Linked DNA regions of Arabidopsis thaliana. The protein of the gene in region 2 interacts with the protein of the main gene of each other region in a pairwise test. Each region holds a gene or a part of one and is shown on either strand. Other genes may lie near its edges.

Region 1 (5,370 bases), 3.3 Mb from region 2:
AACTAGGTTTTTGCGATGAAGAAGAAGATACTCGGAGTGGTGATGATGATGATGATGATGATGGCAGATAACGGCAAGACATATAATATATAGTAGACCTACAAATCCTCGTCGGATTCAGGATTTGAAATCTGATAATACCCATTTTGATTTCAGCTGAGAAACCCTCTCTCCCTCTTTTCTCCGATCAGTTTCCCAAATTGACTTCTCATTCATTGCGCGGTAAGATAGACGGCGCTCATTTTTTTACCGTTTACTTAGTTACCTTTTCACCGACGATTGTAAAATTATACTCAGTCAATGATAGCTTCATTAAAGGCCCCCCATACTGTTCTTTCATATTGGGCCAAATCAAATGTTGGGAGTATAACAAAAAATATTTTTTTTAAAACGGTAATGGTTAATTAACAACACTGATTGATTTGGTCTCTCTTATAAACCAGAAATAACCGATTCTAGAATCGAAAACCCGAACACTGAGTGAGGTAGATATTGGCCGGAATTAGAGTTGTCTACCGGCGGCATCAGCGACAAATGGAATGTATGGAGTTTTGCCGAGTAAGGAGCTGACGACTCCATACACAAAACACATAAAGCTGAAGACGAAAACCCCCGTGTGCCCCCACATCATCGCCTTCATTCCAAACCCGCCTCCTTGACCCGGATCCAGTATTCGGGTCAGCAGCACCGGAACCGCCAGGAGCACATCCAGCGTCACCGCCTGCATCGCGTTGAACCTCACGTACCTACTGAAACTCGTGTTCCTCACCACTCCCAGGTACAGCCCGAAGAATGCCACGAAGCTCGCGTACGGCACCGATCTGTACAGGTTCAGGATTGGGAAGATTGGCTCGAACAGCAATCCCAGCCTTGGGTACTGCGCGAACAGGAACCGCCCGTACTGCAGAGAATTGAAGAACGGCAGCGCGTACGACGCTATCGAAATCACGCGCTCAGTCGCCGGCGTCGGGGTGTAGGAGGCGCGGGTCGTCAAGGCGGTTGCGCGTCTGCTAGAGGGGCGGATCGAGAAGGTTGAGGATCCGGGGAAGGAGAGGCTGAGTGGTCTGCATCTGGGAGCCGACAGGGGATTAGTTAGGGTTTGGTGGAGAGAAAGGCACAGAGACGCCATTCTTTTATTTTTTTGTTTGGGATTTTCGCTGTTTAGTCGGCAGTGTCGATTTGTTGACAAGAAGAGCAAAAAAAAGTAACAGCTCAAACGCTGCCGTTTTCGAATCTAAAATTTGGCCCGCGCACACTAACAACATAATTGGGCCGACTTAGCTATATAAATGGGCCTATATATGGTACTAGAGGGCTTCGTGAACAACAGAAGGTTTTTGTGGCGCCGACAAATGGGAAGCGGAAACGAAGAAATGTGATGGCATTGATTGAAGGCGAGTCGAGTCGAGTCAGACTCGGTCAGAGCGAGTTGAGAGAGCAGTTAAGAAACAGTAGCAGGTAGAAATGACGGATGTGTCCCCACTTTCGGACCAGACCACTTTACTCCCCGAGTTAGCAAGTGAAGTGAGAAAACTGTCTGTGTGTCACATGTTGGCCACTCGCGCGCTATCCCCGCCCAAGGACCTTACCGTCATTTTGGTTGGAAACTAGTAAAAATTAGTTTATTTATTTTTTGTTTGTTGTTTTGTCAAGTAGTATATTTCTTGGAAATATCTTCCCTTTTCTGGGATGCTTTTACTTGGCGACCCAAGGACCAAGAGAGAACCAAAAATAAATCTCACAAAACAAATTAATACAAACTACTACTATATACTATTATTATTTAAAAAAGAATATGAGAAAAAGAAATTGAAAGCTAAAAAAAGAAACAGTAGTGCAGAGGGCAGACCGTACGGTATTCCTGAAGAGCGAAAGAAGAGAGAGAGAGAGAGAGAGACCGACCAAAGAAGAAGCTCCTCTCAATCACTGTCGAAGCATCTCTTCTTCTTCTTCTTCTTTTTTTCTTCTCTCTCAGAGCTTTTCTAATCGGCTTCTCCGGTAAATCTCTGTCGATCCACCGATGAGCTTTTGACATTTACTCTCTTATTAGTTTCTTCTAGTTTGGTGAGAGGAGTTTTTACTAGTATCTTTTTTACTGTACACCAAATCCCTAAATTTAAGGACATGTATGCTCGCAATCCTCCCCTCAATGGCTCACAATCTGCTCAAGCTCCCGACTGGACCCCTGCAGATGCCGATACCGGACTCCAAGGTCTCGCATGCGCTTTGATTCTCAGCAACTGTACGGTCTCTTTAGGGTTTCCGCTAAATGGCCCTGACTGTGCTCAATTTTGTGATTTGCAGAATCGATGTGGCGATTAGGGTTGGGTAGCGACTCGTACCCTGAGAGACCAGGTGCTCCTGACTGTGCCTACTACATGCGAACTGGTGTCTGTGGCTACGGTAATAGATGTCGTTACAATCACCCTCGCGATCGTGCCTCGGTAATTTCTTCCTCTCATTCATTCTTCTTTCTTATTATTGTTCTGAAACCATCCATACTAGGAGGACACAATCAAATGCTTCTCTCTGTTTTTTCCGCAATGTGGGTGATCACTGGCCTTATAGAGTCTCTCTAAACTGGGGAAATTGTTAAGCTTTACTGGTTTCAGTTGTTGTGCTTTACGTCACGTTTTTTTTTGTCTTATGCATTGACTCTACCCGGTGTTTCCCTGTATTTACTGATACCTTTGTATGCTCTTGTAAAAGCTTATCATTTTGTCATCTTAGCTTGGCCACAGTTTACTATTTTCTCATGTTGATTCATGTATAGGTTGAAGCAACTGTTAGAGCTACCGGGCAGTATCCTGAACGTTTTGGTGAACCCCCATGCCAGGTAACCCACCCCGACCAGTCATTTTATATGTTCCAAGTGATGAAACAAGGTTTTTTGTGATATTATTGATCTCTGCTTTCCTGGCAGTTTTACTTGAAAACTGGAACTTGTAAATTTGGGGCGTCATGCAAATTCCACCATCCAAAGAATGCAGGTGGATCCATGAGCCACGTTCCACTAAATATATATGGATACCCTGTACGAGAGGTAAGCTTTGTTTCCACTCATGTCAAATAAAAGGCTAGTCTCGAGTTTGCATGATCTTTTATAAACTCTTTGTAGGGTGATAACGAATGCTCCTACTATTTGAAAACGGGGCAATGCAAATTTGGTATAACCTGTAAATTTCATCATCCTCAGCCTGCTGGTACTACTGTCCCACCACCACCAGCATCTGCACCTCAGTTTTATCCATCGGTGCAGTCACTTATGCCTGACCAGTATGGAGGTCCATCTTCTAGCTTGAGAGTTGCAAGAACTCTTCTTCCTGGTTCTTATATGCAAGGCGCCTATGGTCCAATGCTATTAACCCCCGGGGTCGTTCCTATTCCAGGCTGGAGTCCTTACTCGGTGACCTTTTTTTTTATTGATGTATCATCAATACATTTGTTATTCACCACAGTCTCTTACTGTCTCACTTTTGCTTTTGCTTCAGGCACCTGTGAGCCCTGCTCTATCTCCTGGTGCGCAGCACGCTGTTGGGGCAACTTCTTTATATGGAGTTACACAGCTCACTTCCACCACTCCTTCGCTTCCCGGGGTTTATCCATCTCTGTCCTCTCCTACAGGTGTTATACAGAAAGAACAGGCCTTTCCAGAGAGACCTGGTGAACCAGAGTGCCAATACTATTTGAAAACAGGAGATTGTAAGTTTGGAACATCTTGTAAGTTTCATCATCCTCGAGATCGGGTTCCACCAAGAGCGAATTGCGTCCTCAGCCCCATTGGTCTTCCTCTACGCCCGGTATGCTCTGTGTTAATATGTCATAAAGGTTGTTGATCATAGTTATAACATTTCTGTCTCTAAATCCGTTGTTTATCTTGGGTTGAAAACAGGGTGTGCAACGGTGCACTTTCTACGTACAAAACGGCTTCTGTAAGTTTGGATCAACATGTAAGTTTGATCATCCAATGGGAACGATCAGATACAATCCTTCTGCGTCCTCTCTAGCTGATGCACCGGTGGCTCCTTACCCAGTGAGCTCTCTCTTGGGTGCTCTGGCAGCTGCCCCTTCTTCTTCATCGACAGAGCTCATAGCAGGCGGTGCAAAAGATGCTTACATGACCGGTGTGCCTACATCAAGAAGCACATCAAACATCTCGGCAGGTTTGATTTTCTCCCAGAGCGGTGGGTCAATTCCATTCTCAGAGCTGCAACTCTCGAGCCAGAGCTCTCTTCCTCTAACAGGTAGCAGAATCACAAGACAAGGGCGTGAAATTCGTCGATCCTTTTGAATAGATCACCTCAGAAAAGGGTACGCATACGCAGGTCCTCTGGATCACCTTTTAGCAATTCTTAATCTATATGACTATTATTATATAGAAGCATGTGATGTGAATTTATATATATAATCTTCGTACCTTGAGAAGAAGAAAAAGCCTATTTGAGTAGAAGACCTGAGTGAGAATCACATATATCTGAGAGGAAATCTATATGTGCATATACCAAAAAAGATAACAAGAAAAGGCTTCTTCTTTTTTTTTTTGGAATTTGTGTATAATGTTTGTATAGAGACAGACAAGGTTTCTTTGTCTTGTCCGTACTTCTACTTCAGACCCATTCCGGCTGAGACACAAAAACAAAAAAAAAAAAACTGAGACAAAGAACTCAATTCTCCTCTTCTTTTAGTCTGCCAATTGGTGTACTTCTCGTGTGTTAAGGTTTGTTCTTATTGTAGATGAATGATGTGTGTTGTTAATTTTGTTATGTTACTGCTTCACACATTACATGTGTTATGGTGATGAAACAACCTACATTTCAAGACTAGTTTTGAAGGTTGGCACCATTATCTTGAATATATTTATTTCCTTAAAAAAAATGGTTTTGAAATGAAGTTGAGCGGAAGCACACTAATCCTAGAATCGATCAATAGCATCGGGAAAGTGGTACAAAAAAAGAGACGAGAGAAATGATGGCCTAGAAACAAGTTTTAAAACAATATGGAGAAGGAAGTAATCTTTAGAGAAAACCCTACCTGAGAAAAGAAACTATCATGCTCAATTTAATATGCTTCGCCATCATTTGCTCTTATTTGCCTTCCCCACTTGTCTCTCTCTCTCTACACTCTTACTTTTCTTTTTGTCAAAAGCCCAAGGAAGAAGATGAAATCAACTAAACTTGGACATCCGGCTTTGGATTTGGATTTTGTAGAGTGGGAAATTGTAGTTTGTTGTGAAATCTAACAACAAAATATTTACCAAAATATAGATTTGCTTAAGTGAGATATGTAGTATTTTAATGAATTGCGTATTAATAGGTTAGGAGTAGTAAACTTTTTGTTTTTCTTGTTAACTCGTTTGAGCTACTTCCGGAA
Region 2 (3,603 bases):
TTTTGAGTGTAAATCCAAATATTTTTCATAATATACTCTTCCAAAGATGAGATTTTTTGTTCAAAATACTTAACGGAATGCATGATATTAGTAGAATGTATCTGTCCAGTTTTATGTCCAGTTTCATGTTTAACAAACAAAAAACTAGTCTCACTCTTTTTTACTTTTGGTTCAGTTTTAAAGTTTTACCGATAAATTGCAAGTGAATTAATCTCAATCAAAGAGATGTTCTTTAAAGCCAGTAGGACAACTAGAGATGTTGAAGTGTTTGTGCATTCTTCTACAAATTTTACAACCCACTTAAGCCCATTTATAAGAGTAGAATCATTTTCGTAAAATGGGGTCTTTTGTTCTCTATGTTAACACAAAAGCGGAATGTTTTGTTGTAGTAATAAAAATAGATGAATTTTTGTTTCATGCTCACGGTTTCTTAATTCTCTATACAACAAGACAGAGAGTCAGAGACTACTAAAACTTAGTTTTTATTGTCTTCTATAGTAACTGAAGCAAGAAGGCTTAACCTATATAGTTTGCAATTAGACTTGTGTGTGCCTCGCAAGCAACTTAACCATTCTACATTTGATCACAATTTCTTCATTTGACCAATTTATCTGTACTCTCCAATTCACTGTCCTCTAGGATCACAAAACCAATTCTTCAAATCCATAACACAGAACAAATACTTTGGTCAAGCAAATATGACGAGGAATCACACAAATACATAACTCTTACTTTAAAAACTCGAAACATTTCATACATTCAACAAAAGGGTTCTTTTTTCTCATTCAGTATCCAACAAGTAAGCATAGAGAATTCATCATCATCATCATCATCAATGCCAACACTTGCATAAAGTAACAACAAGAAGAAGGAAAAAAAACACAAACTTTAAAAGCAAGAGGAAGTGATCTGATTCGATAACTCTCAGCAACACAGCATCAATCTCTAGATGTTGACCTGATCAAAAGCTTCAAGAGCATCACCAGTAAGTCTACAAACTCTCCACTCCTGCAGAATCTGAGCACCCATCTGCTCATAAAACTTGATAGCATTAACATTCCAATCAAGAACAACCCATTCCACTCTTCCATAACCCATCTTCACCGCTTGTTTGGCCACAGCAGTCAACAACATGCTACCAAACCCTTTCCTCCTATAAGGCTCTCTCACAAATATATCCTCAATGTAAAAACCAGGCTTGGACAAAAAGCTAGAGTAATTCGGGAAAAACAGAACAAACCCAGCTACAACGACGTCGTTCAACATATCCGGCGAGAAATTGTAACTCTCCGGATCATCAATCGGGAGATCAAGGTTATGTGTTTTGAAAAACGGTGTGAAATCGGGAGATGGTGATGAAGTGATGGTTGCTGGAAATGGAGAACGAGAGACTTCTAAGAGGAAGACTGTGAATGATTGGAAAGGACGAGAGGTGAAGAGTGTTGAAGCGAGACCTGATTCGGTGGCGGAGAAGAGATGCGTGAGACGTTCGAAGACTGCCATTTGGTGAATTAGTTTGTGGATGAATGGGACATCGGACGGTGTTGCCAGACGGATCCGGGAGAACATTGGGTGGCCGATTGGTGAAATTAGTGGTGCTACCATGTTTGGTTCCGGTGCTGCTGTTGGTGGCGGTGGCGGTGCGGCGGCTGCCATTTTTTTTTGGTACTGTGATTGTGAAAATTAGGGTTTATATTTGGGGGGGGGGGGAGTGATAGTGAGAACGATGGAGAGGTTCTAGAGAAGCTTGGGCGGTGGTTTTTCTTGTGCTATGTGTATTTTTTTTAATTAGGAAAGTAATAAAATAAGTATGGATTTTGAATGAGCCCAGCCCAAAGTTTTTATGGATTTTGTATGAGAGTTACTGAACCCAGCCCAAACCCAGTGTTTTTACTTTTAGTAACCCCCTTACATACGTAACCAAAAGCTAAACCAAGTTATTGTTTTTATGGATTTTTATTGTTTCTTCTTACCACTACAAAAGTCAATACAATATTTAACAAGTTCAATTCATATATAGTAAGTATTAATATAGACAAAATTTCAAAATATAAGTCTAAAAAATTATGTACTTATTCATTTTTAAAGACACATTGTTCAATAAAATAAAATAGGTAGAATAATATATGATACCAATAAACCCACACGATGTGTGTGAGTTGATTTCTAATAATATTCTAATTACCAACTTTATTTTCTCTAAGATATTATTTTGAACCTAAACTACACATGCTCAAAAATATGAGCTAGATCTTGCATATTTGGAAGATCGGCTAAGCTACCACATCTTACAACAATCGCATGATATTAAATGTGAAATAGATTTCTTTTATTGGTTTTATTAACATTTATATATACATTTTTATTGCTAAATATGTCAATTTACTAGTGTAAACAATGTTGCATTTATTGCCGATTATCTACCTATTCTCAAGAATCATGCTAGACTCTACCCTCTCTCTTAGTATCCATACAAGATGTGTCAGACTGATGCTAAATCTGGTAATTCTATGTTTCACACCTGTGGATATTGGTTGGGTTTCTACTTCTGATTGTTGGTGTCATGTTCATTATGCGGTTGAAAAAATATAGAAAATAGAGGAAGGTGCCATATAAGTTGTGAGATGTTAAGATCTCACTAGATGGCAATACCAAAGAAATAGAGGAAAGTAAGAGGAACAAGATAGTAAAGAAATCTGAGGGGAACCAGATAAAAGAGAAAAGTGAGAGGATTTGGTTTTTCTCCTATACATAGCTAAACATGTGTCGTGAATCATTTATTTTTATTTCAACATTTTATCCATGGCGTTATCATTTCAACATTTTTTATTTGTTTGTTTGAGACGATTACAAATGTTTGTGCCCTTTATTTTTCAGTGATTGATAGGATGCACCGTTGATGGAAAAGACCCAAAGGATCTTTAGCATGAAATTTTAAGATTGTGATCGACATTGACATTCCTGAGAATTTAGGAACAATAGTAGTTTATGGTTTTGGAGTTTGTGTTTTTTTCTATGAAATTTAAGTTATAATGATGATTGATCAAAGATAGAATCATCAATAAGTAGATATATAAATATCATATGCATCAAATAACACATACATTGCTTGTACGTTACAAATTGTTACACACAAACCTCCCCCACAAAGCCACAAATAAGACACAGTAAATGTCACTCACCGACCATCTTAAATAATATTCGTTTTTTCTTTTATATGATTTGGGTCCCTTTTTTTTTTCCTTCCTCCCTTCCTGGCCCAAAGAATTCTTCACCTCTTCGCTAGTTCGAAATAACAAATTTAAGCATGGAGCTCATGAAGCTGGCTCCTGACTGACCCATAGGCCTTCATTGCACCAGCTCTCAACACAAACTGATGGTAAAATGCTGCAATGGCTGCACCCACAAATGGACCGACCCAGAAGATCCACTGTAGTTATTAAAACAAAACTCATTAATATGTTAATTTAAAACCCAAGAACGAATATCAGATGGTGAAAATACAAACCTGATCATCCCAAGCCTTTTGATTGTTGTAGATGACGGCAGCTCCAAAACTCCTAGCCGGGTTTATTCCGGTGCCAGTAATTGGAATTGTGGCTA

Evidence for each region.
Region 1: the proteins of AT2G39020 (region 2) and AT2G47850 interact in a two-hybrid assay, tested with the Arabidopsis thaliana proteins (one large-scale study listed by BioGRID).

Annotation. Positions count from the first base shown.
Region 1 is NC_003071.7:19,593,829-19,599,198, forward strand, and holds AT2G47850 (Zinc finger C-x8-C-x5-C-x3-H type family protein), read left to right. Parts: upstream 1-1,700; 5' UTR 1,701-2,124; coding exon 2,125-2,212; intron 2,213-2,304; coding exon 2,305-2,444; exon of another isoform or gene 2,445-2,773; coding exon 2,774-2,836; intron 2,837-2,923; coding exon 2,924-3,043; intron 3,044-3,118; coding exon 3,119-3,406; intron 3,407-3,491; coding exon 3,492-3,800; intron 3,801-3,892; coding exon 3,893-4,291; 3' UTR 4,292-4,836; downstream 4,837-5,370. Other genes in the region: AT2G47830 (Cation efflux family protein), read right to left, coding at 1-145; Tic20-II (putative conserved protein ycf60), read right to left, coding at 503-1,129; AT2G47844 (uncharacterized protein), read left to right, coding at 1,465-1,611.
Region 2 is NC_003071.7:16,293,445-16,297,047, reverse strand, and holds AT2G39020 (Acyl-CoA N-acyltransferases (NAT) superfamily protein), read right to left. Parts: upstream 1,909-3,603; 5' UTR 1,657-1,908; coding exon 946-1,656; 3' UTR 553-945; downstream 1-552. Other genes in the region: PIP2E (plasma membrane intrinsic protein 2E), read right to left, coding at 3,302-3,430, 3,509-3,603. UniProt on the Arabidopsis thaliana protein: Probable protein acetyltransferase with dual specificity triggering both N-alpha-acetylation (NTA) and epsilon-lysine acetylation (KA).